2 linked regions of the Nothobranchius furzeri genome follow. The protein of the gene in region 2 purifies or fractionates together with the protein of the main gene of each other region. This does not show direct contact. Links are inferred from orthologs where the notes say so. Each region holds a gene or a part of one and is shown on either strand. Other genes may lie near its edges. The genes, in order: gar1 and clns1a.

The links.
Region 1: the proteins of clns1a (region 2) and gar1 purify together in Homo sapiens (affinity purification with mass spectrometry; 3 studies listed by BioGRID and IntAct, counting the BioPlex papers as one, with this or other methods). This does not show direct contact. The link is inferred for Nothobranchius furzeri from reciprocal best matches to the Homo sapiens genes CLNS1A and GAR1.

What each region holds. Positions count from the first base shown.
Region 1 is NC_091741.1:77,338,509-77,355,093, reverse strand, and holds the start of gar1 (H/ACA ribonucleoprotein complex subunit 1), read right to left. Parts: upstream 2,456-16,585; 5' UTR 1,308-2,455; coding exon 1,073-1,307; intron 800-1,072; coding exon 645-799; intron 536-644; coding exon 476-535; intron 391-475; coding exon 267-390; intron 124-266; coding exon 1-123. UniProt on the Homo sapiens protein: Required for ribosome biogenesis and telomere maintenance. Part of the H/ACA small nucleolar ribonucleoprotein (H/ACA snoRNP) complex, which catalyzes pseudouridylation of rRNA.
Region 2 is NC_091753.1:60,555,396-60,571,880, forward strand, and holds the end of clns1a (methylosome subunit pICln), read left to right. Parts: intron 1-8,831; coding exon 8,832-8,942; intron 8,943-9,050; coding exon 9,051-9,056; intron 9,057-9,132; coding exon 9,133-9,306; intron 9,307-12,190; coding exon 12,191-12,257; intron 12,258-12,394; coding exon 12,395-12,395; 3' UTR 12,396-12,564; downstream 12,565-16,485. UniProt on the Homo sapiens protein: Involved in both the assembly of spliceosomal snRNPs and the methylation of Sm proteins.

The sequences.
Region 1 (16,585 bases), on a different chromosome or scaffold from region 2:
TGAATCCACGTCCTCCACCTCCTCTTCCCCTGAAACCTCCTCCACCACCACCACCACGTCCACCTCCAAACCCCCCACCACGCCCACCTCCAAATCCTCCACCCCTGCCACCCCGGAAACCACCTGAAATTAACAACAACAAAAAAAATCACACCACTTTTACAAGCTGTTCAAATAACCGGAAATTGGTTTAGTAGAAACAAAAACCATCCTAAAAAACTTTAAAGCAAAAGACCAAAAAGGACTAAACATCTGAAATGACTCACCTCCACGACCGCCTCTTCCTCCACCTCTGCCGCCTCCCCTTCCTCCTCTTGGCGGGCCTTTCTCTCCTGGGGGCCGAGGCAGGAATCTTTGCAATGGGAGTAGCTTCATCGGGTCTATGTAAAACTGAAAACCCAATTTTAACAAATATCACAACCTGCAGAAGTATCCGAGTTCAGTATCTGAAAACGTTCTTGTTCTCATCAGTTACCTTCTGCATTTTCTTGAACGACGATGCCTTCAAATTTTCAGACAATTTTACAGAAAAATACTGCGCACACATTAGTTAGGGAATTTAATTATCAGGAAGCTTAAAAAAAACCAATAGTGTTTTAATCATTTTACACAGATGACTCAAAAAAACACACAAGAAAGGATACAAAGTCCCTGAGCTGGCCGAATATCTCATCCACTTTTCCAATCTGCTCTTTGTTTTCCAAGTACACCGGGGCATTGAAATAGGGAACTTTGCTTTCTTCTGTTGTACACTTGCATACAATATCATCCTCACAGGGATGCATGAATTCTCCAACAGCTGTGGAGTAGAAACACAACGATGAGTTTCAGAAAACAAAAAAACATACCTTTAAAATTCAAACTGCAGTCTAATCCAGTCATTTTCTGACTGGTCTGTTGAGCCGTGGATACAGGCTTTATAAGAAAACAGGCTACGTTCACACTGAAGAGTGTTGGTGTCACATTTGAGGCACAATTTCAACAACCACACAAACAAAAATGGAATGGAGCGTTAAGACATGCAGTGTGAATGTTGCTTCAATCTGCCAAATAGGAACAACAGTCTACTTACCGACGACGTACTCTGGAGGACCGTAGTCCTGCTGCCTGTTAAAACCACCTCTTCCACCTCCTCGTCCGAATCCTCCACCACCTCTGAATCCACCACCTCGGTTAAAACCTCCCCCTCTCCCACCACCTCGCCCACCTCCCCGCCCGCCTCCTCCTCTGAAAGACATTCTTCTCAAGTCTGTAAATGAAGGTGTCAGGAAAACACACACACGGTGGGTCATTTTACAGCCTTTCATCACCAAGGTAAAACAGAACCGTGGAACGATTACGCTGAAGACGGTCAGCTTTGTCTATCCTTGGTGTCGTGTCATTTTTAAACTTTCTTTCACATTTCTTCAGCTAAATTCAAATTCTTTATTAAATAAATTCTAGTCGCTGGGATTTTTGGTGATCACATAAAATCCTCAGCTTAAAGAGCAAGTCACCCCCAAATCAACTTTTTTTTTTTAGAAACTATATAAATGCATATCTAATCGGTCTGCAGACACGTGTAGTCAATAGTTTTGCACTTTTGTGGATTTTAGTTAAAATTTTAATTTTCTGCCTAAAACTGTCAGTGTTGTGCCGTTGTCAGGTAAAAACTCTGCACTGCATTTGAACTTAAATCTGCCAAATCTCTATTGGCTAAGAGGTACCCTAGAACATTAGATTAATTATGCCAATGCTGGATCTAGAGGGGTTGAAGACCAACAGAACACTAAGGAAGAGAGGAAATCATCTGTCTGTCCCCAAAACAATTTTTATCTGAATCTGGTGCCCTTGGAGCCTGTGAGGCTGAAGTGAATACTCCCCTCACAGAAGAAATGTGGAATGCTGCCGGCCCGTCGCTATGGAAACATTCTCCCTATCCCAGCCTGGGCGGGACTGTGACCGGTGAAGGTTGTGGAACCGTATCTAGGAGTCAAATGTGCCCTCTAACCCATTATCTCCCTCTCCTGTCCAAGCGGAGGTGATGAATGCTGCTCCATGTGGCTGCACGCACTGAAGTGAGGAGAGTCCCAACCCTACCTCCCCACCTAGTGGACACTTGTGTTGTGTAATGTCTAAAGTCTGTGCATATCTGTCTGAGGTGGTTTTTTTTTTTTGCATTGCAAAGCTGCCCTCTGTGTTGAGGGTAACTGAAGTGCCTTTTTTCCCTCCCCCTGACTCTATCCTCATATTAACCCTCTTGATCTATTACGATAGCGCGACTCGGGTTGCAAATGACCACAGTCACCAATTCTTGTCATGTGTCCATGTATGCATGTCTGATCTCAGAATTGTGTGTACTGAAACTCTAATTTCCCTCTGGGATTAATAAAGTATTTTTAAATTGAATTGATTAGCTGGTACCATACGATGTCACAATGTCGTTGTGAGCCTGTGTGTGTGTGTATTTGTTAGCGGCTCCGCCCTCTCGGTCTGCTAGGCAACAGCATTTGTTGCATTTTTCAAACAGGAAGTGGGAGTTGAGTAAGAATCTGGTAGGGGGTAACTTGCTCTTTAAGACCAACGCTGTTGTTTAAAAGTCACATTGAGTGTTTAATTCAAACGTTATTTTCTTATCAAAATTAGAAATTTACTTTTGTGTTATCACTAGGGTTGTCACGGTAACCGGTATAGCGGTAAACCCCGGTAAAAAAGTTGACAATAAAAATAACCGTCCAGTTTTTAAAAAACTATATTATCTCGGTGGGTTTACCGTGGCCGCGGTTTCGGCGCGGTGACCCTTACCAGCCACCGTCGCTTCAGCTGAAGTTCCCGCGGCGCGCACACGCACTTTTTAGTTTGCAACGGCACCAAAACTTTGAAGCTGAAATAATGGCCGAAGGAGGAGACGGCAGCGCCCAGGACATCCATCAGCCGTCAAAGAAGACTAAATCGGAAGTATGGGCATATTTTGGATTTCTGAAAAATGCTGAGGGACAGTTAATAGAAGACTGCTATCCCGTTTGCAGAACGTGCAGGAAACAAGTGTCTGCAAAAGGCAGCAACACTTCGAATCGAATGGCACATCTGCGTGACCATCACCCACGTCTCTACAGCCAGTGCAAGGTAAGTTAACATTAGCATTTTAGCTTAAATGCATGACGTGAGGACTTTTGGTTGAGGGAGAATGCAACGAGTCACTATATACTGCAGCCGCAGCGTCCTCTGCCAGCATTTAAACCGTGTCACGGACACCTGTTGCTGGATGAAGCATCTTATTTGTTGATGATGAAGAGAAATATACAGTTAGTTCCTTGTCATTGATTTGTTTACTTATTCAATGCCATTTATACTTGAACATTTGGATTTGATTACATAGTGTAGTAGTTATTTTAGTAATTTGTTTAAAGTGGCTATTTATTTTAAATACATATTTTTTTAAGGTTGACTTGTACAGTGCTCAAGTCAAGTGTGGACTGGAGTTTTAGATTTTCATTTTGATAATGAAGAAAACAAGTATATGAGAAAACAAGTGGTGTTTCTTTGATTTGTTTACATATTGTTTATGTTTCGAATGTTTGGATTTGTATAATTTAAACCTGCACTGACTACTGTAACATGTTCCAGAAAAATAAGCTATTTGTTCTTTACTTCTGAAAAGTTGCACTTTTGCTAAGGCTTTGTGTTATTTTAGGTTTAATAAACATTGTTAAACCTTTACAGAACTATTTCAGTTTGTGTAGAACAGGACTATCAATGCTTTCTGAACATATGCAACACCGTTTAAAAAATACCGCGATAATACCGAAAACCGTGATAATTTTGGTCACAATAACCGTGAGGTTAAATTTTCATACCGTGACAACCCTAGTTATCACACCTTTTCTCTTTATTCCCACCTGGGCCAAACCAATTTCTTTTCTTTTTTTTCAACCAGTTTGTTTAAGGTCAGTTTTACTCATATTTTTTATACATTTGCAGTGGTCTCAAGTAGGAATGAGTGCCTTGCTTGTAAAGCCTAGTTTATGCTTTTGCATCAGCACACAAATTAACAGAGATGTTTTGATCTCCGACTTGTCCGTCTTCTGGGGAGTGTTGCAAAGCTACCCCTCCAGGAATAGAGGGCGTAGTTCTGGGGTATACTGTCATGTATAATGTCCAAGATAGACCTGTTCCTATTGGGTTAATAGTGTTTGTATTTTAGAAAATTTTTAAGACAGACAAATTTGTCCCTCATGCTCCCCCACCTCTTCATGCGCTCGCCACCTCTAAACCCACGTTTTCTGTAATTTTCGTCCACGAATAGAGCGTTTGCTGTGTGTCTTTTCACTCCTCCAGTCATGGGTGAATAAAACGTTTATATTTTTATAGAGTTCCTCCATGAGGTATTCATCAAGCTGCTCCTTGTGTGCCGCTGGATATCTTTGGCCTTCTTTATATTTTTGAGGGCGCAATGGCAGTGCTGTTGACGAAAGCGGAGTTCTGACCAATCACAAGACTGTATTCTCTGTCTAAAAGATGTTTAAAAAGTGGGTTAGACTGTCCCATCCTTGTGAGCGTGCTGGTGTGCCCTTGCACGGACAGATAACGGTATTATATGGTGTCATGTCTTCAAACCAAAACCCACCAGCTGTTCCAGATGTAGAACTTGAGTTTACTCTATCCAGGAGCTGCTTTTTTTTATATTGTGTTGGATGCCATTTGCTTTTCTCTATATTTTCTATTTATATTTAAACTGTTTTCTTTTTATTTTGTTTATGTTTAAAATTTGACAGTGTTTGTAGTAAGCATTTCTTGAAATTGCTTCATAATAAACTCCACTTTGATATAAACCTCCTTAAAATGTATATAATTTAAGATCAGTCTCCCAATGATATGTATTGACTGTTTAAAATCCTATATTCTCTATATTTAAAATGGTTTTGAGATTGATTCAAAACTAATCCAAGACCCCTTTGCTCCAGTGTCGTTAGCTCCAACCCTGGTCTGGTCACGGAGGGCCCTGTCCAGCATGTTCGTTGTTTCTCTGTTCCAACATACCTAGTTCACCTGCCCAGAGGCTTCGGATCGGCCCGTTAATCACTTGCCGATTAAAACCACGTTTGTTGAAGCAGAAACCTCTAAAACATCTAGGTTGGTGGTCCTAGAGGACCAAATCTGACACCGCTATTTAACTAAGTTCTCGTTTCAAATGTTGTTTTAACCTTGATTTAAACCATTTTAACAGCGGCAATCGATCATTTTCCAGACTGTATTCCATTTCAAAAATATCTGCAACCTCTATAAACGGTTACATAACTTAATACCAAACTAAAAACCGAGAACAGACGTGATTGCAGTTCACGGCGTGGATTATAGCATGTAGATGCTAACGCGTTAGCTTAAACCGCAATTAAGACGTTTACACGCTCAGTTATTTTAACGGACAAAACGCAACATCTGTTGAGTTTCTTTTAAATTAAACATTTTAAACATATGTGACAAAAGTACAGAGGAACTTATTTACCTGGACTACAAGAAGCCTTTTCGCACTCAAATAACACGTGTGACCATAGACTGTCGTAAACCCGATTACCACAGTCGGAAAGTGTCGTAATTGCCCAACGGTAATATTTATATGAGTAAAGCGCTTTTTGGAGGCATCGTTGATATGTGATGCAACAGCAAGTGGGACAGCTCAAAAGTCGCTTCACAGATAAATGGATATAAACATATCTTCATGTTTTAGTGGACTGCAGACTGAGTAGCCATTAATCAGCTATGGCAAAGGCAGGACAGGTGAGTATTTTTTGATATTTTTCACCGTGTTTAGACTGCTTGTTGATCCTTGTCTTGTGATTTTATTTGAAACCTGAATGAATGTGTATTTTATATTACAAAAGGTGATCAAGTGTAAAGCAGCTGTTGCTTGGGAGCAGAAGAAGCCTTTGTCTATCGAGGAAGTGTTGCTCCACCTAAGCTCAAGGACATAATTCAGCAGCACTTTCATAAAACATCATGACTTTATGCGTGTGATAGTGAAAAGTATTACGCATGTGAACATTTTTCACATCCACATATGCAAACTGCAAGATGAATCATTTCCTGATTTATTTATTTCCTTTCTTTACTTTATGCAACATATTTTTGCTACTGGACTGTGCCACACAGACTGGGAATACCTGTATGAGACTGGGAAAAGACTGAAATTCAGATCATTCCCTTTAGTTCTTGGCCACGAGGCAGCGGGCGTAGTGGAGAGTGTTGGTCCAGAGATCCATCATACCCTGTACAGGCCATATACCCTGTACAGGCCATCATACCCGGTGAGAATGCATTCTCACCGGGTATGATGGCCTGTACAGTTAACTCAAAAGTTGTGATGAGTTCTAACTTTCAATTTTTGTCCTTCTGTTTTGTCGCCAGGAGATAGTTATTCCTCTTTTCTTGCCTTTTTGTGGAAAGTGTGATCGGTGCCAGAGCTCAAAAACAAACTTTTGCAGGAAGAACTGGTAGATCATCTTTGTCACATGTTTAGAAACACAAACATCACATGGGTGTTGGTCTGAATGCACATCATGTGATTTCTAGGGACAATGCACAAAAGGGCGTAATGTCTGATGGCACAAGCAGGATTTCCATCAAAGGTCAGTAGGTCTATCAGTTCCTCGGTATTGACTCCTTCTGTCAGTACACAGTGCTTCCTGACACATCTCTGGCAAAAGTAGCTGATGCACCTCTGGGCAAAGTCTGCTTGTTAGGCACCGGTTATGGTGCTGCTATCAATTCAGGCAAAGTAAGGGGCCTCTAACCAGTAAACAGCTTTGTTCATTCTATAGTTTATGTACTTTCTAATGTTAAAGTGGCTGTTTTTTGCAGAAAGTCATCTTCTTAGTGTGTGTGTGTGTGTGTGTATATATATATATATATATATATATATATATATATATATATATACACTTTTCAAGGTGTAGATCTCACCAGTAGATAGCACTAGATGTTTTTGCCTTTAACCGGATGTTTGCTACATGATAAAATACGCACGAGATATCATCCATTTTAGAAATGAATAATTTACCAGATTATTTTTATTATAAATGGTTTCATGCGTGTTTAAAAAGTCACAGTCAACACTGTAACACTTTGGCCTTAAATTTAATTCCAGATAAAAATGTGCAAATATTTTGGGCATTTTGTTAACAGTTTGGCTTCAGCTTTGTACAGCATCCATTTTTAAAACATATTCTCTGAAACATGAGACTAGGAGCATCATTGCAAAGTAAAATTATAAATTGTGGTTGAGCTTCAAATTAATATTTGTTACAAATGCAATAAATAACACATCGCTAATTAAATTGGGCTATTTGACTTGGTTTATATGGTGGACAACATTTTCACACGCATTAAAACTGCACCTTTCACTCTCCACAGCTACATCCAGGTTTTATCTTTTACACCCAGATTTACACCGGCACACCTATCGACAAATAACTCTAGCCATTAATTTGTATCAGTGACTGTATGCCTCATCAGTGAAAAAAATGGTTGTTTTACTTCTCTTTTTCAGGTTGAAAAAGATTCCTAGTGTGCCTTGTTTGGATTGGGAGCCGTCGGAATGGCTGCCATTATAGGCTGTAAGAATGCCATGGCGAAAACGATCATCGGGGTTGACACCAACCCTCAGAAGTTTGAGAAGGCCAGGCTGTTTGGAGCCACTGAGTGCATCAGCCCGAACAATGGAAGCAAATCCATCCAGGAGGTTCTGGTGGAGAAGACAACTGGAGGAGTGGACGTTGCTCTGGAGTGTGTCGGAAAGCCAGACGTCATGGTGGATTTGTAATTATCTGATTAATTAAACCTAGAGTCAAGAGTCTGCAGGTTGCTACGGACTGAGTGTGCCAGGAAGTTACAGGTAGTTCAGGTATGAGTTGTGCAAAAATAAAAGTGGTTGAATGCTCTCTAAAATTATTGATTATTTTCTAAATATCTGCGTCAACATGTAAGAAAATAAAGAAGACTAAACTCAAACATCTTGTGCTTTCTCAGATTGCAGCATTAGAGTCCACAGCTGAAGCCTGTGGGACCTGCGTCATCGCCGGGCGGATGGAGACTGAAACGATGAGTGTCCCAGTCATAAAGATCCTGATGGGACGCACCTTGAAGGGGACGTATTTTGGAGGTAAGCTGGAAACAAGTTCAATGGTTCACCATAAAGCAGCTGTTGGTCGTAATCCAGGAGCAGAGCTGGATGAGTATAAGACTAAGAGAATCAAAGTTCTCCTTAAGTTGTTTAAACACAAAATAACTGTGTTTGAGGGTTTCCTGTAGGATCTGGTGAGTTATGGTTTTAAATATTCATCTAAAATGTAGTTCTGAATGACCCAGAGTGGTTTCTCTGAACTAAACGTGATCACCACCTTGTTATTGTCATTGTCTTCTGAAGGCTGGAAGAGTGTGTTGGGTGTGCCGAAAATTGTGGATGACTACATGAGTAAAAAGTTGAAGCTGGATGAGTTTATCACCCACACGCAGCCGCTGAATGAGATCAACACGGCCTTTAACCCCCTGGAGAATGGTGAAAGGTGTCGTCATTTATGTCTCTCAGTTTTAGTTGACTTTTTTATTTCTATGTGCTTGTTTGTAGATCCCTCTAATCCAAGGGTGTCCTAATTGTTTAGGATGAGGGCCAAAATTGTCAAGTTATAGTCCTGGCAGGCCACAAAATATGTTTGTTTTTGAATTTACATAATGCAAAAATTATTTTATGGTGCTTTTCTTACACGTCAGATTAGGTCCAAAGTAAGGATATTAGTAAAAATCTGAAAACAACAATGTCAAAGTGTCCAGTACCCTCACTTCCTCAGCCATTAAGTACAGTTTGTCACAGTCTGACTTTTTAAAGGTGCAGTATGTAAGAATATAGAGAGAATTTTACAGTGACTCCCAATAGAGTCAAATTTTTCTGTCATTTAAGAAAGGAAGGTTATACTGAAACATATTTCATATCCAGCTGGCTGTGGGGATTGTCAGTTTTTCTCCTTTCAAAACAAAGGAAAAAGGGACGTTACTACTGTTTGCCATCAGAGTGTGGGGGTGCCGTGTCTCCTGCGGGCTAATACTGCAGCGCCGACATTTTTAATTTGACGACAGCCGGCAAAAAGCTTGAGTTGTTTAAAATGGGTGCAGTAACCAAATTTTACCACATGGTGTCATTTTTACTTCATTTCTACATAATATAAAAAGGAAGTGCTTCAGTGTGTAAAAACAGGAAAGTAGTGGAATAAATTCTTAGGAAAACACTAGTTTTAGAAACTATTGGGCATATAAAATGATCGTCCAAAACATTATGAACACCCACTATTATAATTGATCATCTTTAAAATGGCTCCTTCTACTGGGAGGAAATCGGAAAGCAATCTAGTCTTTAACGTGGATTTATTGAAACAACATTTGAGCAAGCATGATAATCGTCCAAACAGCTGGGCGATGGCATTTTCACAACTTTAGTTCTTGCACAGTCCTTTTCTCAACATTATGTGGACATCAGGGTCTGTGCTATTTACCTTGAGAAGATAAGTTTTTATTTCTTTAGGTAGCAAGATCATTTAAAAATTGTTGCTGACCGCACAAGGATGCACTCGGGGAAAAGAGTTTAGGGGTGGAGCTTCACGGGTAAAAGGTACTGCTTGTTCTCAGCCACCATTTTCAGGGATAGATGTATCAGACTAAGGTAGGAAATGTGGTTCAAAAATGGTTTGAGGAACATAACAAGAGTTCAAAGTGTTGAGTTTACTTCAAGGCTGTCCTGATCTCCGTTTGGTCAAGAACAACACCGCAGTGGCTTTATTTAGTTATTAGCAGAATGTCTTCGTGTCAAATCCCACATCACACCTTAAGGCTGTTTTAGCTGCAAAATATGGACACCTTTCATAACATGCATATAGTTGTGGCAAGGTGGAGAAGCGAGGGCGCAGGCAGGATTCGATCCCCAGACTCCCGGGTGAGAATCACACGCGCTAACCAGTCAGCCAAAGGGACATCCCCGTGGCCAAGTAGCCAGGGCGCATGATCAATCGGGTCACTGTGACAGGACGCTCACACTGCCACATAGTCATAATATTATGGCTATTTCGATGCACTGTATTTGTTATTCTGTGTGTTGTGTATTCATCTAAAGATGTTTTTCTAAGCTGGTTCATGACTGTTTAGAGTATTTCTACTGAAAGGATGCTTTGTTTGTAATGCTGGGACTGATCAATGTTAGTTTTAAAAAGATCTAACAACTTTATTATTCAAATAAATGAATTTATTTAGTTAAAGGAATTGTTTAATCACTATTTTTTAGTTGTTTTGTTTTTTCTCCTTTTCTCAGCATCCGCTCTATCAGTCTTCAGGACTGTGAAGAAGATAAACCAAAGACATGAAGAATTTACTTGCTTTCATCACTGGATAAAAAAGGAAACATTTCTTATTTGTCTTTACCATTCATGCGTTTTTAAGAAAGTAAAACTTTTTCTTTGCAGCTAATTCCCACATTCACCACTAGGTGGCACTTTTACATCACACACAAGATTCTGTTGTGTGAACAAGAGCATCTAACCAAATCAACGTCTTTTTGTTCTGTGTAGAGATTGCTATTTTATCTGGGTTAAATGTTGATGTCTCCTATTTTTTGCTCAAAGCTTTGATGAAAACCTGAATTAAAAACATAAAATGTTCTTTAGACTTCAAATTTATAAACTGCCTCATCTCCACAGGGCTAATTCTCCCTACATCTGTCGTACTTGGCAGTTCCAGTGACACTGATTCTGCTTCAGACTATCTTGTCTGAGAAGTTGGGCTAAAAAACTCTGGCACCAAATCAGCCGTGGAGAAATATCTGCTTCATGTGGTCAGGCTTACCGCGTTTCGTCCTTGGTAATATTACGTATCGATTTAAAAAGGGAGAGTCATCAAGAGCGGTTAGCAAAACAGTTGCAGGCTGTCAGGTCAGAAGACAAAGGGTTGTTTGGGGATTGCGTCTGTAAAGAACCAAAAATAGCTGTCCAAGGAATTTGTTTTATTGAAGTGTTGTTCGGATCAAATGAATACCTTTGGCAGCGATCCGGATTTTCCATCTTCTTCTAAAGTGGAAAACAGATTTGTCCTCTTGTCTTTGGTTGGTCTCCTCTGCCTGCACCATTAATCACAAACTGCACAACTTAGAACAACTCTTTATACATTTGGGGAAAATAATTCAAACTTTAGAGAGAGGGAAGGAGAGCCATGATGATAACAAAGTAGCAGGAGGAGATGAGAGATCAAAAGCGAGAGGAAGACGAGTTTTAACAGGTGTTGGTGAGGCTGGGTACCGTCGTCTGTAAATGCTGGACTAGCTCACAGATTTATAAGGCTTTCTTGGGTACATGTGTCTGAACGTCTTTCTAATCTTTGGGAAAACTATCCAAAGTGATGACTCCAAGTCTACTACCCTCTTTTTTTTACTTTTTGATCCCAGTATCCTCCGGAGTTGTCACAGCATTGTGCAACTGATACGTGGAGGACATGCTGTCTGAGTTAAAACCACTGGACTGCACGCTTTTTAGGGCTCGATTGTCTGTCTCTTCATGTTTCATGTTAATGTCCAGTTTGTCTGAAGTTATTGTTGGAAAGATAAAAGGGTTTAGAAAACTGAATAATGATACTTGATATGTTTCAATGCTGGTGTTTGTTCACGATGACTCTTTTACACATAGGAAATAATAATAATGATGCATTAAACTTATATGGTGCTTTTCAGGACACTCAAAGACACTTTCACACACTCACATTGACACACTGCTAGTGATAGTAAGCTACTTTGTAGCCACAGCCGCCCTGGGGCAGTCTAACAGAGGCGAGGCTGCTATGCGCCGTCGGCCCCTCTGACCACAACCAACACATGGTACAGTGGTGTGAAAAACTATTTGCCCCTTTTTTATTCTTTTGCATGTTTGTCACACAAAATGTTTCTGATCATCAAACATGTTTAACCATTAGTCAAAGATAACACAAGTAAACACAAAATGCAGTTTTGAAATGATGGTTTTTATTATTTAGGGAGAGAACAAAATCCAAACCTACATTGCCCTGTGTGAAAAAGTAATTGCCCCCTGAACCTAATACCTGGTTGGGCCTCCCTTAGCAGCAATAACTGCAATCAAGCGTTTGCGATAACTTTTACAGTGCTCTGGAGGAATTTTGGCCCTCTCATCTTTGCAGAATTGTTGTAATTCAGCTTTATTTGAGGGGTTTCTAGCATGAACCACCTTATTTTTTAATAAGATGTTGTAGGGTTTATAGTTGGTGGTGTTTACCTGAGGCCAAACCTTAACAAAAGAAAACAATCTTAGCTGTTCTTATGACTAGTGAATCAGAACTGGTCTACTTGCCTTCAGCCGATGTTCTGCATCCTCAGAAAAACTTCTGTCCAATGCAAGAATTTCCTGCGTCAGACCGAAGAATCAGTCTAACTATTTTATGTTTGAGTAGATTTCCCAGATGCTAGCCTTTGCTTTTACATTTTGTTTTTTTTTCATAAGCAAAAGTAACTGTGTAGTGGAAAGCAAACATGTGGAGGGACGTGTATTTGCTGGAAAGTAATATCAAGATTGGATTTTTAAATAAATGTGAAGGTATTTGTTCATTTGAGTAATTCTTTTTCAGGTTTTCTTTTTCTATCCAGTGCATAGTAGTGTTAATTCTAATCATAGCATTTCACTTAAGAAATGTTCCAGTTCAATTTTTTATATTAATAATAATAATAGTAATAATAATGCACATTTCTAAGCCAGGGACTCTAAAAAAATGTACAGTTCGGTCATTCACACACTGATGGTGGTGATGAGCTACAACGTTACCACAGCTGCCATGTGACACACAGACAGCGGAAAGGCTGCTACACAATCTGTGCCACCGGTCCCTCCAACCACCAAGTAGGGTGAAGTGTCTTGCCCAAGGACTCAACTGACACTGAAGGAGCCCTGGGTTTTAATCGGCAACCCACTGACTACAGGGCAAACTCCTAAACCCTGAGCCACTTTCACAAATGTTAGAACTAGACCTCTTGACTGGAACATTTCATCTGTTTGTGCATCTTTCTGGTGAAATAAATATTTCAGTAGTATTTCATAGTCCATAGTTCCACTGCAACACGTCAAACATTAAAACCCTCATTTTCTAAAGATTTTATGAAAGTCAAAACCATGTTTGACAGCTAGAACGCAGAATTCATGTAGTTTACAACCCCAAGTCGACCCACTTAAGTCCCTGAGAACTGCCACTGTGAGGCCCCTGTTTTATCAGTAAATCCTAGCCATTATGTGCCTAATGCCTGGCATTGGCTGTGATATCCTCGGCCTTTCCTTGACACAGTTAGCTTTAGCTTCTGTCTCAGTAGTGGAATATACTGAACCTCATTTGAGGATGGCATAACATTTTCAGGGACAGTTTTGTCTCAAGCAGTGGCAAATCTTGTAAAGTAGGGTGTCCTGTTTTAACATTAAATTGTCAAATAAAAGTTGTGCAGGTTTGACTGATATATTAAAAGACAAGGCATTATAATTAGAAGTTATAAAATTTTAAGTGACAGAATGGGGACATTTTACCTGCAATAAAATGCATTGAGCTTTAAAAAGATGCATGCTAATATGTCATGTACTTAGAGCAGGAACATGTAAGGAGTCTATAGTGAAATAATCACAAAACAGCTTAATGTCTCAGTCCTGTTGGAGGGAAGGTTACACTGAACAGATCTGCTGTCTCAGACGACTGGGTGGTGGTCGGTTTTCTCACTTAAAAAAACACAAAAAGGGACGAAGTTACTGTTTACACTCAGTGAGTTTGTGAGGTTGCAGAGTCTGCACTAAGCTAACTCTGCAGCATCTTTTTTTCTTTTTACTCTATTATCGGTAGAAGCAGGCTAAAAGCCAACGGTGAGCTAACAATGCTAAAGGTGAACTAGAAAAAAAAAATCGGTGGCACAGGAGTTAAGTGCTCGCCCAGTAATCGGAAGGCTGCAGGTTCGAGCCCCGCCCAGTCTGTCGCTGTCGTTGTGTCCTTGGGGCAAGACACTCAACCCACGTTGCCTGCTGGTGGTGGTCAGAGGGACCGGTGGCGCCAGTGCTCGGCAGCTTCGCCTCTGTCAGTGCACCCCAGGGCAGCTGTGGCTACATTGTAGCTCATCCCCACCAGTGTGTGAATGTGTGTGTGAATGGGTGAATGACTGATTGTGTTGTAAAGTGCCTTGAGGGGTTCCAGGACTCTAGAAGGCGCTATATCAAATACAGGCCATCTACCATTTAGCTCTAAAATTATCCAAAGAAAGTTGTTCAATAACCAACAACTTGACATTCCAGTAAAATGTATGTGGGGAGTGAATGATGAGTCAATTGTGGCGTTTTACTTCTTTTAATGAGTCATTCAGAACTATAACCAGAGACATATTTATGTAGATGGCCCGTGGACTGGCTCTGCCTAATGGAGCTGCTGTAGTGGCCAGCAGCCATTTTAGATTTGCCCCCAGTGCATTCATTTCCTCTGAGGAAGGTGCTTACACAACTAAAAAACACACTTTAATCAAGCTTATTTCACAAAATCAGACACATGGTATGTCATGATAATTAAATTATACATGTAATTTAACAAACTAAATGAAAATATAAGGTAGCCTAGAAAAGTCAATAGTAATCCTATGTGATCTGTTTTCAATAGTACACAGGTTATTGCAACCGTAGGCTGCACAAAAATGGCCATAGTTGCCCACTCTGCATTGACTTTTGAGTGAGACCCATCCAATATGGCGGTGACACTGTTACACTCTCCAGTGCCCAATGGGGTATCTACATATTCATATCTATCTTTAAATATAACAGCAAGACAGCAGAAATATTGCCATAATACGTGTAGTGAATGCTCCCTAACATAAAACACCAAAGAATACTAACACCAGATATACTAAAACTCAGCTCTGCGTACTCTTATTTCTCTCTCCTCTCGACAATTTGTGTGATGGGTGGGTCCTTGTACTATTCTGGTCTGCAAATTAAACTGAAGCAAACATCTTTGCTGAGAACAACATTTACCATGCATCTTCATTCCTTTTGCCATCTTCAAACAGTTGATTTTTCCTTCTCGAAACTCGGAAATTCCAAGTTCTGAGAAGAAAGCGAACGCACCATTAGCTAATGTTAACAGAAACTCAAATATCAAGCTAATACTATCTTAAACAGTTTATTTACCTGCTGGAGCAGATTAAGATGATGATGCCTCACTTAGAGTGTTGTCAATGTTGTCATCTTCCTCCAATCCTTGAAGTGAAGCCAAACTTTAAAGCGCTTTCTGCCATGCTGTTTGCTCTATTTACAGTTCACCTCCTAGCAACTGACGACATTATACTCTTGCGCATGCGCTGCTGTCTATCACGACAAATCGCTGTTTCGCAAGTTCTCATTAATGGAGGACAGGTACTGAAACAATTCACCATTTCATATAATACAACTAAATCCTCGGTAGGTGCCACAGAATTTTGTCAATGCTGTTAAAATTACAGAATTTGCCATCCCTAATGACTCATGTTTGTCATCTACAATCTTCGGGCACTGATCCGTAACTGGCAACAGCCATGAAACTCACATAATGATAGTGAGAAGTCTACCGTAAATCCTCTAATACAGGCCCGGGCCTGTATTTGACTCAAGCTCATCAAGCTCCCGGCCTTTATTGGAAGGAGGGCCAGTATTAGAGGCAGGCCTCAATTTCTATTTGAGCAAAATGAACTAATGGTTCGCTGGAGTTTTTGACAATCAAAATTGCGCCCACATTTTCAAAGTTAAACACATTTCTTTTAACAACGGTAGTTTCTGCTTCAGCCATCTCCCCCCTCCCCCTGCGCAGCAGCCACAAACTCACTGATGCGCCTGCAGCCTCTCGGAGTTCCTGCTGCTCTAAACATTAAAATAATTATTTCATTTTCTGTTCCTCACTTCTGATTACCTTCAATGGTGTCTGTTTGTTGCAACCACCAGGTACAAAAACTAACTTGTTTTTATTTGACTATTTTTCTGTCCTGTCTGTTTATTATCTTCCTGCTTCTCTCAATCCTAAAGAAAAACTGCTACCTGGGTTCATATATATTCACCTTATGAGTTACCTTTGAACTGCAGTTCTAAAAGATCTACCGACCGCAAAAACAGCGGAGTGCGCGCTGCTCGCCGGCCACGGGAGGCAACGCTCTGTGCCAGAGCGTCGGTACTGACACCCGCTGTAAAACGGACATTTAACCAAATTGTGACGTTTCCCTCTTGCAATTTAACCTTCCCCTCACCCCCATCCTAACCTCATATTAACCAGCTTGCGCATGCAAAGCTCTGATTGTTGACGCGCTCCAGACATCTGCGTCCTGAGCACGGCCACAGTAACATTATCAAATCAGGTGTCGCCACCTCAAAAACTAATTTAACATGCGATCGTTCATGTCCGCTCATTTCCTTTTATGTTTTTTGTTTTTTTATTCTTTTATTTGTGCCTGATGCGTTTCGCTGCTGTGGATCGGGGCGCATCACCTGTCACCTGCTGACAGCAGGCTGCTGTCTTTTCCGTGGACTGCATC
Region 2 (16,485 bases):
GTAATCGTTTGACCTCTGTTATTGCCAACAAAGGTTATGTTACAAAGTATTGAGATGAATTTTTGTTATTGACCAAATACTTATTTTCCACCCTGATTTACAAATAAATTCTTTAAAAATTCTGCCATGTCAATTCATGGATTTTTTTTCACATTCTGTCTCTCACAGTTGAAGTGTACCTATGATGTAAATTACTGACCTCTGTCATCATTTTAAGTGGGAGAACTTGCACAATCGGTGGCTGACTAAATACTTTTTTGCCCCACTGTACGTGAGTGAGACTCGCGCTACCAGGAATCTGCTCTGGTGGTTGTTTAATTACATGCACTGGTGTTGGTCAGCGTGTTTAAGTCCTTATAAGATCTACTTTTGTTTTTTGAGATTGTAACAAACTTTTTAGGCGGTGCATCACGACCTACGACCTTCATAGCACCAGTGCTATAAGTTAAAGATGTTAGCGTACAGCCCTGTAGGTGGTTACACTCCAAGTGTCACGCTGATGTATCCACAACACCTGCAGAGGGTTCCTGAGCCTGTAGATGGTTTCTCAGTCTGAGCTAGTTTACTGACATAAATGCACTTTTCCACCTCATTCTAGATTTTATTGTTTCACTTAAAAGTTTAAGCTCCACCTCCAGCTAGGGTTGGGTGAAATATTCGACCATTGGTGATAGGCTGAGCCGTTATGCTTGTTTTCACATGTGGCGATTTGTCTCGTTTTTGTTGGGCAGTGCGTAACTTAATGACTCGTGCGGGTGTGCAAATATTTTACATTTTACGCACAAACAACAATCTCAGAGGGAAAAGATCTCCATCTGAGCACTATCTCACTCTTTCTCCTCATCTTGCCGCTGATGGTGTGAGTAAGCGGCGTGCTGAGGAGAAGCTCGGAGCGCGTGGCCCACTCCACATTGTGCACAAGAGCACAATGTGGAGAAACCTTGTACCTTTCAGAGAGGCAGGTAGACTTCTGATTGTTACTGTTGGAGAAATGTTTTCTGATGTTACAACTTCGGCTGAAGTAGTGCTCGTTCACCAGCACCTGCTTCACATCCTAACCCTAACCCAGGACCACATCTAAACACCTGTGAGTCTGTCTTAAGGTCCAGAACCTCTTCAGCACGCTCCCTAGAGACGTCAGGTGACCAGCTCAGGTCCATGCGGAGCTGCTGCAGCAGGTTAAAGGTTCCTGCTTTCAGTGAAATGGTTTAATAGCACTGTTTATGCTACTGGGGACCTCTGATCAGCTTGTGTGGACTAAGTATTAAGTAAAAAAGAATACCATACCATTTTCTACGATATATCCCATTTAAAGTTAGAATATAGAACATTTTAATAAAAAGCTATAATACCTCCACAGGGCTTTCAGAGGGGTGCAGACTCAATGTACAGTTTCACCTTTAAAAGCTTTATGTTTACACCAACCAGCCACTAGAGGGCACTGCTACACTAACACCTTCTCAGCAAGGCAGGCTGGGACTGTGTAAAGTGAGCAGCTGATTCTGAGCCCATGAGATGTTCTGACGGTAAATACTGATGTAAAATAAACTCGTTAGTAGAAACGAGTCCTTACCCTGTACGAATGGTCTGCAGTGACCCAACATCCCAGCAGCTGGAGAATTAGTTCTGTTGTTGCAGTACCACCTCTGAACACCAGAGTTCGCCAGTGTCCGTGTTACATGTTCAACCTTTAAACAGCATGCGAGCTGAACAAAGCGCTGCACAGCCAGCAATCATCCAAGGATCACATAATGTAGTTAAACAGTCATTCTGATTCTGATTCAGTAGTGATCCACCTTAAAACAAAGAAAAACAGCAAATTAAACATTAAAATAAAGTCCTTGTCCATAAAGAATGGATGTTTAAGGAAAACGAAAGTGACAGCATTAATGGATCATGTGACCTCTGGCTGGGAGCAAATTCATTCAGTTTCCTACTCAAACACCTTAAAGAGAACCCCGGTAGCTGATGTTCAGCTACGAACCGTCTTGCTTAAAGCAAACACCCCAACAGAAACAAGGACGGGCTTCTTTTTACCACTTTAACCGGGTTTAATACGAGCCGTTGATGCGTCCCTCTACCAAACAACAAACACAGCATCATACAAAAAGAATCATCTAAATCTTTCTTCCAGCGATAAGCTGGTGAAGGTTCTCAGTCCTCCAGGTCATGGTGTCCAAAAGGGTTCAGATAAAGGCAGTTGGACTTCTTTGGTTTCTTGAAGACGTTTCACTTCTCATCCGAGGAGCTTTGTCAGTTCTGACTGGAATATGGGAGAGTCAAGCTCATAAGCTGCAGCTGTCTGTTGTTGTTTAACGAGCAGAAACTACTCTGAGTATCCCTCCTCTCCATCCCCTGATGAGTCGTTGTGCTGACTAGATGCAGGAAGGTGTGAGCTAGACTGAAGCTGCTTAGGAATGAGATCCAAAGCTGCATTATAGGTACTGGACAGGTGAAATCTAAGCCCCGCCCCTATTTAAAGTGGGTTTCTCATGTTTGACATAGATAATCATAGACCTGGGACGATAACAACTTTTGCTGGAGTATATATTGTCCAACAAATTATTGATGATAATATTATTGACATTTTTTAGACCAAATTAATCACTTGTGTAATGTTAATATGTCTTAATAATGCAAGTAAACCCATTAAAATGCTCCAATTAAACCTTTATTTAACATCAGAATGTCTACGACTTCTAAATAAATAAATAAAAAAGGACTTTCACTCTGTTCTCTGCACTAAAAACAATAAAATGGACCCTCTCTCTCCAAAACAACAAATACAACGGCCCATCCAGTGTCAACAACCAAACTACACTTCATTAAGGACAATAAATAATAATAATAATAATAATAATAATAATAATAATAGAGTTGTACATTGCTTTACGTTGATATATTGAGGCTGAGGAAATGAATTAATCTATCGTACGATTAATTGATTTGTTTATCATCCCAGCCCTAGATAATAATAATAATGTTATTATCAGCAAATATAAATGAACGTCCAACATGTTTGTTGTAAGTTGAGGATTCTTAATGTTTTAGTGTTTTCAGCAGCAGAACTTCTGAAACGAGACAAATGGGTTCAAACAAACAACACACCAGTCCAAACATGTTTATTTATCTTGTTTCATCTGTCATTTATTTAGTTTCGTCATAGTCTTCCTCCGCTTATCCGGGTCCGGATCGCGGGGGCAGCATCCCAACTAGGGAGCTCCAGACCGTCCTCTCCCCGGCCTTGTCCACCAGCTCCTACGGCAGGACCCCAAGGCGTTCCCGGACCAGATTGGAGACGTAACCTCTCCAACGTGTCCTGGGTCAACCCGGGGGCCTCCTGCCGGCAGGACATGCCCGAAACACCTCCCTAGGGAGATGTCCAGGAGGCATCCTGACCAGATGCCCAAACCACCTCAACTGGCTCCTTTCGATCTGGAGGAGCAGCGGTTCTACTTCGAGTCCCTCCCGAATGTCCGAGCTCCTCACCCTATCTCTAAGGCTGAGCCCGGCCACCCTACGGAGGAAACTCATTTCGGCCGCTTGGATCTGCGATCTCGTTCTTTCGGTCATTACCCAAAGCTCATGACCATAGGTGAGGATTGGGACGTAGATCGACCGGTAAATTGAGAGCCTGGCTTTCTGGCTCAGCTCCCTCTTCACCACAACAGATCGGCTCAGCGTCCGCATCACTGCAGATGCTGAACCAATCCGCCTGTCGATCTCCCGATCCCTCCTACCCTCACTCGTGAACAAGACCCCGAGATACTTAAACTCCTCCACTTGAGGTAGGACCTCTCCCCCGACCCGGAGTTGGCAAGCCGCCCTTTTCCGGTCGAGAACCATGGTCTCAGATTTGGAGGTGCTGATCCTCATCCCACTCGGCCGCGAACCTACCCAGCAAGAGCTGAAGGTCAGAGCTGGATGAAGCTAGGAGGACCACATCATCCGCAAAAAGCAGAGACGAGATTTTCCTGCCACCAAACTCGACACACTCCACACCACGGCTGCACCTAGAAATTCTGTCCATAAAGGTAATGAACAGAACCGGTGACAAAGGGCAGCCCTGGCGGAGTCCAACCCTCACCGGGAACAGGTCCGGCTTACCACCGGCTATGTGGACCAAACTCACGCTCCTCTGGTAAAGGGACTGAATGGCCCTTAACAGAAAGCCACCCACCCCATACTCCTGGAGCGTCCCCCACAGGGTGCCCCTGGGGACACGGTCATAAGCCTTCTCCAAATCCACAAAACTCTTGTGGATTGGTTGAGCAAACTCCTATGCCCCCTCCATCACCCTTGCAAGGGTATAGAGCTGGTCCACAGTTCCACGGCCAGGACGAAAACCACATTGCTCCTCCTCAATCTGAGATTCAACTATCGATCGGACCCTCCTCTCCAGTACCTTGGAGTAGACCTTTCCAGGGAGGCTGAGGAGTGTGATCCCCCTATAGTTGGAACACACCCTCAGGTCACCCTTCTTAAAGATGGGGACCACCACCCCGGTCTGCCACTCCACAGGAACTGCCCCCGATGACCACGCAATGTTGCAGAGACGTATCAACCATGACAGCCCTACAACATCCATAGCCTTGAGATACCCAGGACAAACCTCATTCGCCCCCGGGGCTCCGCCGCTGTGTAGTTGTTTGACTACCTCAGCAACTTCTGCCCCCGAGATTGGACAGTCCATCCCCAGGTCTCCCGGCTCTGGTTCTTCCTCGGAATGCGCATAGGTGGGTTTGAGGAGCTCCTCAAAGTATTCCTTCCACCACCCGACTATAGCCCCATTGACGTCAGCAGCTCCCCATCCCCACTGTAAACAGTGTGAGTGAGTTGCTGCCTTCCTATCCTGAGGCGCCGGACAGTTTGCCAGAACCTCTTTGGAGCCGATAGATGGTCTTTCTCCATGGCCTCACCAAACTCCTCCCACGCCCGAGATTTTGCTTCGGCAACTGCCACTGCTGCACCCCGTTTGGCTATCCGGTACCTGTCTGCTGCCTCCGGAGACCCACAGACCAGCCACGCCCTGTAGGCCTCCTCCTTCCGCCTGACGGCTCCCCGAACCTCTGGTGTCCACCAGCGGGTACAGGGGTTGCCACCACGACTGGCACCGGCCACCTTGCGACCACAGCTAGCAACAGCCGCCTCAACAATCGCAGAGTGGAACAAGGCCCACTCGGAGTCAATGTCCCCCACTGCTCTCGGGACGCGGTCAAAGCTCTGCCGGAGGTGGGAGTTGAAGACCGTCTTAACAGGTTCTTCTGCCAGGCGTTCCCAGCAGACCCTCACTATGCGTTTGGGTCTGCCAGGTCTACGCGGCATTTTCCTCTGCCATCTGATCCAACTCACCACCAGGTGGGGATCAGTTGACAGCTCCGCTCCTCTCTTCACTCGGGTGTCCAAAACATACGGCCGCAGGTCATATGATACAACTACAAAGTCTGTCATCGACCTGTGACCTAGGCTGCCCTGGTACCAAGTGTACCGATGGGCATCCTTATGTTCGAACATGGTGTTCGTTATGGCCAAACTGCGGCTTGCACAGAAGTCCAATAACGAAACACCACTTGAGTTCAGATCAGGCGGGCCGTTCCTCCCAATCGCACCCCTCCAGGTCATGCTGTCATTGCCCACGTGAGCATTGAAGTCCCCCAGCAGGACAATGGAGTCCCCTGATGGAGCACTATCTAGCACACGTCCCAGGGACTCCAAAAAGGGTGGGTACTCTGAACTGACATTTGGCCCATAAGCACAAACAGTCAGGACCCGTTTCCCGACCCGAAGGCGCAGGGAAGCTACCCTCTCGTCCCCCGGGGTAAACCCCAACACACAGGCAGAGAGTCTTGGGGCTAACAAAAAGCCAACCCCAGCCCTCCACCTCTCACCTGGAGCAACTCCAGCAAAGGAGAGTATCCAACCCCTCTCAAGGACTTGGGTTCCAGAGCCAATGCTATGTGTCGAGGTGAGTCCGACTATATCTAGCCGGTACCGCTCAACCTCTGCCGTAAGCTCCTGCTCCTTCCCTGCCAGCGAGGTGACGTTCCATGTCCCAAAAACCAGTATTCTTGTCCGGGGATCGGACCGCCAAGGCTCCCGCCTTGGTCTGCCACCCGATCCACATTGCACCGGACCCTTCATGTTCCTCCTGCGGGTGGTGGGTCCACAGTTGGATGAGCCCATGTATCCGGTTCGGGTTGGGCCCGGCCGGGCCCCATGGGCGAAAGCCCGGCCACCAGGCGCTCGCTCATGGGCCCCAACCCCAGGCCTGGCTCCAAGGTGGGACCCGGGTAACCCTCCGGGCCGGGTACTCAGACTCTTTGAATTTACATCCATGAAAGATCCTGTTTACCGTAAATCCTCTAATACAGGCCCGGGCCTGTATTTGACTCAAGCTCATCAAGCTCCAGGCCTTTATTGGAAGGAGGACCAGAATTAGAGGCAGGCCTCTATTTCTATTTGAGCAAAATGAACTAATGGTTCGCTGGAGTTTTTGACGATTAAAAATGCGCCCACATTTTCAAAGTTAAACGCATTTCTTTTAACAACGGTAGTTTCTGCTTCAGCCCCCCCCCCCCTCCCCCTGCGCAGCGGCAGCAAACTCACTGATGCGCCTGCAGCCTCTCGGAGTTCCTGCTGCTCTAAACATTAAAATAATTATTTCATTTTCTGTTCCTCACTTCTGATTACCTTCAATGGTGTCTGTTTGTTGCAACCAGCAGGTACAAAACTAACTTGTTTTTATTTGACTATTTTTCTGTCCTGCCTGTTTATTATCTTCCTGCATCTCCTCTCAATCCTAAAGAGAAACTGCTACCTGGGTTCATATATATTCACCTCATGAGTTACCTTTGAACTGCAGTTCTAAAAGATCTACTGACCGCTAAAACAGCGGAGTGCTCGCCGGCCTCATCGGTGAGGTCCGTCACCGAGGACAAAACAGGTGATGCGCCCCGATCCACAGCAGCGAAACGCATCAGGCACAAATAAAAGAATAAAAGACAGAAAACCTAAAAGGAAATGAGCCAACATGAACGATCGCGTGTTAAATTAGTTTTTGAGGTGGCGACACCTGATTTGATAATGTTACTGTGGCCGTGCTCAGGACGCAGATGTCTGGAGCGCGTCAACAATCAGAGCTTTGCATGCGCACGCTGGTTAAGGTTAGGATGGGGGTGAGGGGAAGGTTAAATTGCAAGAGGGTAAAGGTCACAATTTGGTTAAATGTCCGTTTTACGGCGGGTGTCGGTACCGACGCTCTGGCACAGCGCGTTGCCTCCCGACGCGCAGGAGCTTGTCACCTGCTGACAGCAGGCTGCTGTCTTTTCCGAGGGCTGCATCTTGCCGGTCCTTATCACGTGACAGCGACTAGTCGATGACAGGCATAACAAGTCACTATAGAGCGGTGAAGTCGACTAGTGACTAGTTCATACAACCCCTGCTACTGCTCCCCAGAGTGTTCTGCAGCATAATCAGCACGTTCTCTTTGAACTTGATATCAAATTTTCGCCTCCTCTTCGTCTCCGCACGGTTAAAGTTACCCTCGCGGTCTATCACTGGCAAATCAGAAGTGAGACGGATGACACAACCGCCCCCCGTACTTGCTTGTTACCACATTCCACCCGGCCACAATAAGAGACCGGCCATTATTCACCTCCGCCGACTCCGACACCGGCCAAAATATTAGACCCGGCAGTTAATTAAATACAGGCTAATATTAGAGGATTTACGGTATTTAGTTTCTAAAGCTCAATTTGAAGTTGTTGTTTAAAGAAAACTCATTCAAGTAAATAAATAAATAAAATAAGATGGCAGCAGACAAACGAGGTTCAGCTTCGACAAGCATGAAAGTTGTTGCTGGTCAAGGAAAAGAGGTCCACAGTACCGTCTGACCTCTGATGAGGAACCTGCTGATGCTGCTTTGGTTGTATGGACTTTAGCACAGAGAGGGAACGCCTGGGGTTCCCTTAAGCAGACACGGGGTTGCAGGACATGAGGAAGGTCCTTACGACACTTAAAATCAATAAAATACAAGTGGTCGCGGACCCACATGAACTAGGTCCTAGCTTGTGCCATTTGTTTCATGAACCTTTAGGGCTACAAAAGGTGCCCAGAATGTGGAAGGATGCAGTTGTCCCTATTCCTAAACCGATCAATGACGTGAGCTCCTGGTCACTGCTCAAGGAGACGATAGGACCATAATGACCATGCTTTACCACTCCTATTGTTGTCATGGTTTGACTAAGCAAATCTGAAACAAGTCATCACTTGATGAGATGGTTAAGTGGCCAGGTCGTCTGCTTGCTAGGCCACAGACCAGTGTATGAGCCAGGTGAAGAGGATTGCTTCTGCACCCCCTGCAGAGCCGCTTTGTGCTTCTGCCCTCTGGTCGCAGGTTTCTGGTGCATAGGTGCCGGACTAAAGGGTACGAATCTAGTTGTGCTCCAGCTGCTGTGACCATCGTCAACAATCCGTAACTTGTCACGCAGTTTTAGGACTCGGGTATTTTATTAACGACATGTAATGTTATTTTATTGTGATGCACAAAGTTAAAAAACATTTTTATATGTTTAGTTAAAGGAGCGCTTCTGTGGTTTTGATGGTGGCCCTCTTGTGCCCTCTGGTGGCTAAATATATATTACACCCCTGCACAGCAGAAGAACGAGAGCTCAGCTGGAAGTTAACTGGGCAAAACTAAATGGTCTGCAGTTGTACGGCGCCATCTTGGGGTCTACAACCCCCCAAGGTGCTTGACAACATCTGGAGCCAGCTGTGATGGTGGCTGGTAAAAAGGAACGTGCCCTAACCCTGGTCCTTGGTTCTCCTCACAGTGGAGTCCATGTTCTCAGCCATGTGCGAGTGCCAGGCCCTGCACCCGGACCCAGAAGACGACGAATCTGATAACGACTTTGAGGGGGAGGAGTACGACGTGGAGGAGGCCGGTGGGTAACTGCCATTAGGAACGACTCACGATATTCAACCCTCAACTCATTCTGTTCTTTTTCTCTGGACACGTTTGGTTTTTCTCCTCGTGGACCTGACATCTGCAGAAGCAGGTGAACATCCAGATCTTACACACACTCTGAAAATATAAACTGTTTACCCACTGCTGCTGTTTCTGTACCCGGTTAGAGCACGGCCACGCCGACATACCCACCTTCTACACGTGTGACGAGGGTTTATCGGCGCTGACACAAGAGGGTCAAGCCACGCTGGAGAGGCTGGAGGGGATGCTGGCCCAGTCCGTGGCTCAGCAGTACCACATGGCTGGAGTCAGAACCGAAGAAACCAAGGCGGAGTTCGATGGTTTGTCAGCTTTCATTTTTCTGATGGATTCTTATTAGAAGTCCTTTTGTGACTAGTAGAAGATCCCAGATGGAAGCATCATCATAAGAGTTGAAGTAGAAAACAGCCAATCATCAGAAAGGGTTCATGTGTGGGAGGGTGCTCTACAGGTGCGGCTTACAGCGGTCTGCTCGTGCGTTTAGGGTAAAAACAAGTTTATTTGAGGTGATGATTTAGATGAATGTCATTTAAAACTGAAGGAAAGTTCATTATTCAGCTGTTTTACTTTGGTAAATGCTTTATTTATATAGTACCCTCTAGGGTTCTACCACCCCCACGGGTACTTTGGTGCTAGTGGCGGCATCTGGGGAAGGCTGGCAGCTATTTCCACCAGAAAGCGCGTCGTTTTCTCTGTTAACAGGCGTGAGCCGCCATTGTTCTCTCGGCGCGCCGTCACGTGATGACATCACATTCATAATCTTTATGGAACGTTTCTAAAATTTGGACTAGGGTTGTCATGGTAACCGGTGTAGCGGTAAACCCCGGTAAAAAAGTTGATAATAATAATAACCGTCTTGTTTTTAAAAAAACTATATCATCTCGGTGGATTACCGTGGCTGCGGCGTAGGCGCGGTGACCCTTACCAGCCACCGTACCATCTGCTGAAGTTGCCGGCGGCACATGCGCACTTTGTTGTTTACAACCAAAACTTTCTTGAAGCTAAAGCTGGAATAATGGTCAAAGGAGGAGACGGCAGCGCTCAGGACATTTATTATCCCTCAAAGAAGACAAAGTGGGAAGTACGGGCATGTTTTGGATATATGAAGAATGCCGAGGGACAGCTGATAGAAGACGGCTATCCTGTTTGCAGCACGTGCAGAAAAAGTGTCTGTGAAAGGCAGCAACGCTTCAATCTCATGACACATCTGCGTGACCATCACCCACAACTCTACAGTCAACGCAAGGCAAGCTAACGTTAGCGTTTTAGCTAAAATGCGTGATCCGAGGATTTGGGTTGAGGGAGAACGCAACGAGTCGCTATATAAAGCAGCCGCAGCGCCGCTACCTGCATGTAAACCGTGTCGCGGACACCCCCATGTTGAAATGACGCTATGCATTACGGGGCTCCCAGGGGCAGATAAGAGTTGGTCTCTCTCCCAGAATAATTATGAATTTAACAACGATTACTGCCTGATGACATTTTCCCACATCTGCAAAGCTCACTGGAAGGACCAGTACCTCATAAAACACACACACACACACACACACACACACACACACACACACACACACACACACACACGCTGTCTGCTCTCCTCCCATTGAGCAGCTGTGGCGAGAGCTCTGTGCAGAGATGTTGGCTGCTCAGAGGACACACACCGCTCTCTCGTTTCCCGCTCACCCGAACCCAATCAGTCCGTAGTATCACCTTGTCCCAGTCGGACTTCTGAGGAAGAGGTCTGAAAAAGTTGCCTGGTCCGGTACTGACCCTGGCCTGTAACCCAGTTCTGGTCCGGTACTGACCCTGGCGTGTAACCCAGTTCTGGTCCGGTACTGACCCTGGCGTGTAACCCAGTTCTGGTCCGGTACTGACCCTGGCCTGTAACCCAGTTCTGGTCCGGTACTGACCCTGGCCTGTAACCCAGTTCTGGTCCGGTACTGACCCTGGCGTGTAACCCAGTTCTGGTCCGGTACTGACCCTGGCCTGTAACCCAGTTCTGGTCCGGTACTGACCCTGGCCTGTAACCCAGTTCTGGTCCGGTACTGACCCTGGCCTGTAACCCAGTTCTGGTCCGGTACTGACCCTGGCCTGTAACCCAGTTCTGGTCCGGTACTGACCCTGGCCTGTAACCCAGTTCTGGTCCGGTACTGACCCTGGAACGCGGGTCTGCTGGTGGCAGGAGGACGTCAGTTGTAGCAGAGCCCTTCCAGCCAATCAGATAAGAGAAAGGCGGGGCCTCCCTAGAGGGTCTCACTTTTCCGTACACAGGTGCCCCCAACAGCGGGGTCAAGTGTCTTGCCCAAGGACACCACAGCTGATGGACTGAGCAGGACTTGGACCTGCAACCCTCCGGTTCTGCTGCGGGGACTCGGTCCTCCGCCACCGTCGCGTTTGTTTTTACTGAAGCATCCGTAAAAGAAACCCGTCTGACCTCTGAAGCGGTGCTTTTACCTGCGATGACCAGCAGCTCCATGGACCGGACCTGTCTCCGCAGCGACGAGTCCGGGACACACACCTGGGTGTTCAGCCAGACTCTGCAGGTGGATTCTGTTGTTCGTGCGGTTTTTACCGCAGGAGTTGGGAACTGTGGCCGAGGCGTTTATGACCTCCAGGTCTCTGCTTGCTGGCCTGAGCCGGTCCTTACTGACCCGGCTGCAGCTGCTCCAGAAAGCTGCTGCTCTGGACTGGTTACCAGTGAACCCCTGTCCTAAGATCCGGTCTCTGTCTGGAACAAGCCCACCTATAGCCTCACTGCTGACCCGCTATGTTTCTGCATGATCGCCACGTTCGGGTCAGAGCGACCTCCCAGTGGTTCTGCAGCCACAGCCCAAGTCCAGAGGTGATCGTGCCTTAGAGGTTCTGGTTCCTCGGCTTTGGAACCAAGACCCCCCAGAAATGAAACGGTCCCCATCGCTGCGCTCGTGTAGAGCCAGGCTGAAGGTCCATCTCGGGTCTGGTTCTGGTTCTGGTTCTTAGCTGTTGCTCTCGTGTTTTAATGTTTTAAATGTTGAATTTCAGCCTTTTACTGTGTTGTCGTTGTTCAGCACCTGGGGTCCCCGTGAAGGGGCAGGAGTAACGGTTTCTGCTGCTCGGATCAGCGGCGCTGTGTGTGAACACTAACGTGTGTGTGTGTGTGTGTGTGTGTGTGTGTGTGTGTGTGTGTGTGTGTGTGTGTTGTCCCAGATGGGATGGAGGTGGATGCTGCAGCGATGGAGGCGGGGCAGTTTGAGGATGCAGATGTGGATCACTGGTGAGTTCATCACCTCCAGCACCTTTCAGGTCCATGTTTGACGTTTGGAGTCATGCCCACCACGTGTCACTGCGAGGCCCGGTGCAGGTGGGATCTGAAGTCACCTGTCATGACGGTTATGATTTAACTTCCTGCAGACGGATCTCGTCCAGCCAGAGGAAGCAGCGGTGGGATTAACGAGGACAGCAGCTCTAATCTCCACCTCCCCGATCCATGTGATGCTGTTGCTCTAAAGACCAACTTAGTGGTTCCTGCTGGAGGAACGTGTTTGTAAAAGTGTCAATAAACAAGATTGTTTTGTATTTCATGAACGGACTGTTGGATCTCCTTAAATAGTTGATATGTCGAGCCTGAAGAAGCTAGCACCACCTCGTTCCTGATGGGCTGAACGTCACATTCAGCTGTTTGACCTTCACTAACCCAAACCATCCACCAGGGTGGGCGTGTCGTTCCATCTGGAGTCAGTCCCACACAGACCCCCCCCACCAATCCTGGGAGTTTAGGAAGCCAGCAAGGAAGTGGCTAAAACTGCAGTTCCTGCCTCATCCACTAGGTGCTGGCAGCAGTGTGTTAGAAAAGCTGAAATAAGCATGTTTACAGCTGGTTCAGAACCATTCTGGGTCTGGGTCAGGGTTCTGAGCAGCGTGCTGGTGGAGGTTCTCGGCCGGCCCGGTCCCGGTTATCCAAAAGGGTTCAAATGAAGGCAGCTGGACTTCTTTGGTTTCATGAATGGTAAATGGCCTGTGTTTAATATAGCGCCTTCTAGAGTCCTGGAACCCCCCAAGGAGCTTTACATCACAGTCAGTCATTCACTCATTCACACACTGGTGGTGATGAGCTACGATGTAGCCACAGCTGCCCTGGGGCGCCCTGACAGGCGAGGCTGCTGAGCGCAGGTGCCACCGGTCCCTCCGACCACCAGCAGCAGCAGGTGATGGAGGTTAGGTGTGTGGCCCAGCAGAGCGGCGTTTTGTCCATGACTGTTGAAGTGAGTCAGACGCAGGGATAGCTCCAAAGAGGAGAAGAAACTACACCAAACATGTTGCCTTCCCAAGAAGCCTCCAAGATCTACCATGACATTTACACGCACAACTCCCGAGCCATCAGGGTGATGTGGGCCATCGTCAATATGGTGTTCGTCCAACCCTGCTGGATCGGCGAACGACGCGGACCGGCTACTTCGGCCTCTTCCACTCCTGCGTGAGTGAGGAGCCCAGAGCCGGCAGCCAGGAACCACTGCGCTGGCTGCTTCGCCGACTTCAGCTCCGTCCTGTCTGGAGGCTTCAAAGTGGCCTCGGCGTTCGTGCTGCTGTCCATGGTGCTGATCCTCAGCTGCATCGCCTGCATGGTGCTCTTCTGCAACATCTCCACTGTTTACCAGACTCGTGCCTGGATGCAGCTATTGTGCGGTAGGACACACTCATTTCTCTCATTTTCTATCATCCCTCTCAATCTATATCTATCGGGGCTCGAACCTGCAACCTTCTGATTAAGGGGCGAGCACCTGACTCCTGTTTCACCGTCGCCCAAGACAATTCACTTCTCATCTGAGGAGCTTTGTCAGTCCTGACTGGAATATGGGAGAGTCGCGCTCATAAGCTGCAGCTGTCTGTTATTAAACCAGCAGAAACTACTCTGAATACCCCTCCTCTCCATCCCATGATGAGTCATTAGCATCTACTGAGAGGAAGTCGTTGTGCTGACTAGACACAGGAAGGTGTGAGCTAGACTGAAGCTGCTCAGGAATGGGATCCAAGCTGCATTATAGGTACTAGAAAGGTGAAATCTAAGCCCCGCCCCTATTTAAGTGGGTTTTTCACGTTTGACATAGATGGCTTCTTTTACTCCTCTCTCTCCATCTCTCTTCTCTGTCCAGCATGTGTCCTTGTGCTTCAGGTGCAGGTGGACCGCAGAGTCCTGACCTGAAGAGGTGGCTCTCCTGTGTCGTGCCATGCTCGTGTGTAGTTGTTGTTTAGTTTCCCCGATGGAAACATCTGGACAGTCCTCGCTACACTGGACTGCATAAACCACACCACCGAGCTTCTGTTTGGGTTCTGGGTGGACCAGGTTCTGTCTGAGGGTGTTGTTGGGTTAAAGTTTACTGGGATGTCGTGTTTGGAGAAGATTCTTCTAGGTTTCTCTGGGACTCCTGCCACGTGTGGGATGGTGGTTGTCCTTTTCTTTGCTGGTTGCTGCTTTGGATGCTTTTCCGGACTAGATTTGACAAAGGCCCAGGTCGGGTATCTGAAGTTCTGGAGAGCTTGTGTTTTCCTTCAGTCTTTGTGGGAACGTTCTCGGCCCGATGGTGTAAAGTGCTGATGACTGACAGCTTGTGCATCGGGGGTGATGCGAGTCCAGATGCAGATACTGGTCTGTGTGCGTTCAGATGGACATTCAGGACCAGTGGGTGAAAAACCCACACAGACGGATGCTCCATGTCACTGGCCTGTATTTATCGGGCCTTCTAGAGCCCTGGAACCCCCCAAGGTGCTTTACAGTTTGTTACTCCTCGGATGAGAAGCGAAACGTCTTCAAGAAACCAAAGTCCAGTTGCTTCATTTGAACCCTTTGAATCCTGAAGGTGAACATCTGACCTTTGACCTCAAACAGGCAAATCAGTAAAGGGTAGAAGAAGAAAATATCGTTTCTATAGCGCCTCTCAAGATAAAAACCACGAGGCGCTTCACAAGAACAAAACATGTAAAAATATAAAAAAGAATTTAGAAAATGTTTAAAAATATATTTAAAATGAGCAAAAATAGACAATTGTGATTAAAAATGTTAAGAAAGAGAGAGAGTGAACAGGAAAGAGGGAAACCAGCTGTGAGCCAACAGCAGCTCACTAGTATTTACTCAGGCCATGTTAAATACGCAGGTGTGATGTAAAAGAGCAGCAGTAGACCAATGATTGGGAATCACATCTGAGGGTCATGACCTCAGCAGCAGCACAGGTCCAGATTTAACAGCCAATCAAAGCTGGCAGAAGCTGTAGGTAGCATAATCGTAGAGAAGTTGTTCTGCAAATATTTCACCCGTAAAATCCGACTTCAGTCTACAACGGTGAGACTCTAGAGGCACGAGTTACATCATCTGCATGTGGTGCAAGATCCTGGTTCTGGTCTATAGGGCCTTACATGGACAAGCACCATCTTACATTGGTGATCTTCTTAGTCCCTACACCCCCAGCAGGTCCCTGAGGTCCAGTGTGCAGCACCAGGCTAAAGGTCAAAGGTGACAGATCATCTGCTGCTGCGGCCCCCAGACTCTGGACCTCTCTCCCCCTGAGCCTGAGATCAGTGGACTCAGTGGTCTCCTTTAAACTCACCTGTTCAGGCTCAGGTGGGACCGTCATCACCTCCCTCTCCTTGCTCCACCTTTCCTTATATTATTATTTTTTATCACATCAACATATTTTAAATCTCTTTATGTATCATTTTGTAGTCGCGCGCCTCGTGATGTCTACCTTGAGACGCTGTGTAAGGATTGTTTCCTGTCTTCAGGGTTTTAGCTCCCAGGCTGTTCTCTATGCAGCCCTTTGTTCCTTCAGTCGTGTTTTTAACACATAAAATAATCTGGATTGAAAGACCTTTATGCCAGACTTGGGTTTATTGTTTTAAAGGGGTAACCCAAACCCATCTGCAGCATTCGACACGATCGATCATGACATTTTGATCACAAGACTTCACACTTGGGCTGGCATTTCAGGCACTGCCCTGGATTGGTTTAGGTCATACTTTTGTAACAGGTCTGCTAGGGTCATGTTGGACGGCTGTTCATCCGAGTCACAGCCTCTACGTTGGGGTGTCCCACAAGGTTCAATTCTCAGCCCGTTACTGTTCAACCTCTATATACCGCCCTTAGGAGCCATTTTCAGAAAGCACGCTGTCTCATACCATCTTTACGCTGACGACTGTCAAATCTACTTTTCATTTAAGCCAACTCAATCAATGAAAGTTCTGTCTGATTGTATCCTTGAGGTCAAGCAATGGCTAGCTGACAACTTCCTCCATCTTATTGACTCCAAAACTGACTTAATCGTTTTCAGTCCTTACAGTACCACGGCTACTCATCAACCTGACCTCAGCTATCTCTCACCTAATGTATCCTCTGTAATCTCCAACCTTGGAGTAAAAATGGACCAGGCTCTGAAGATGGATGCTCTCCACTGGTTGCCCGTGCAGTTCAGGATAAACTTCAAAATTTTGCTTCTCACTTACAAATCCTTGAA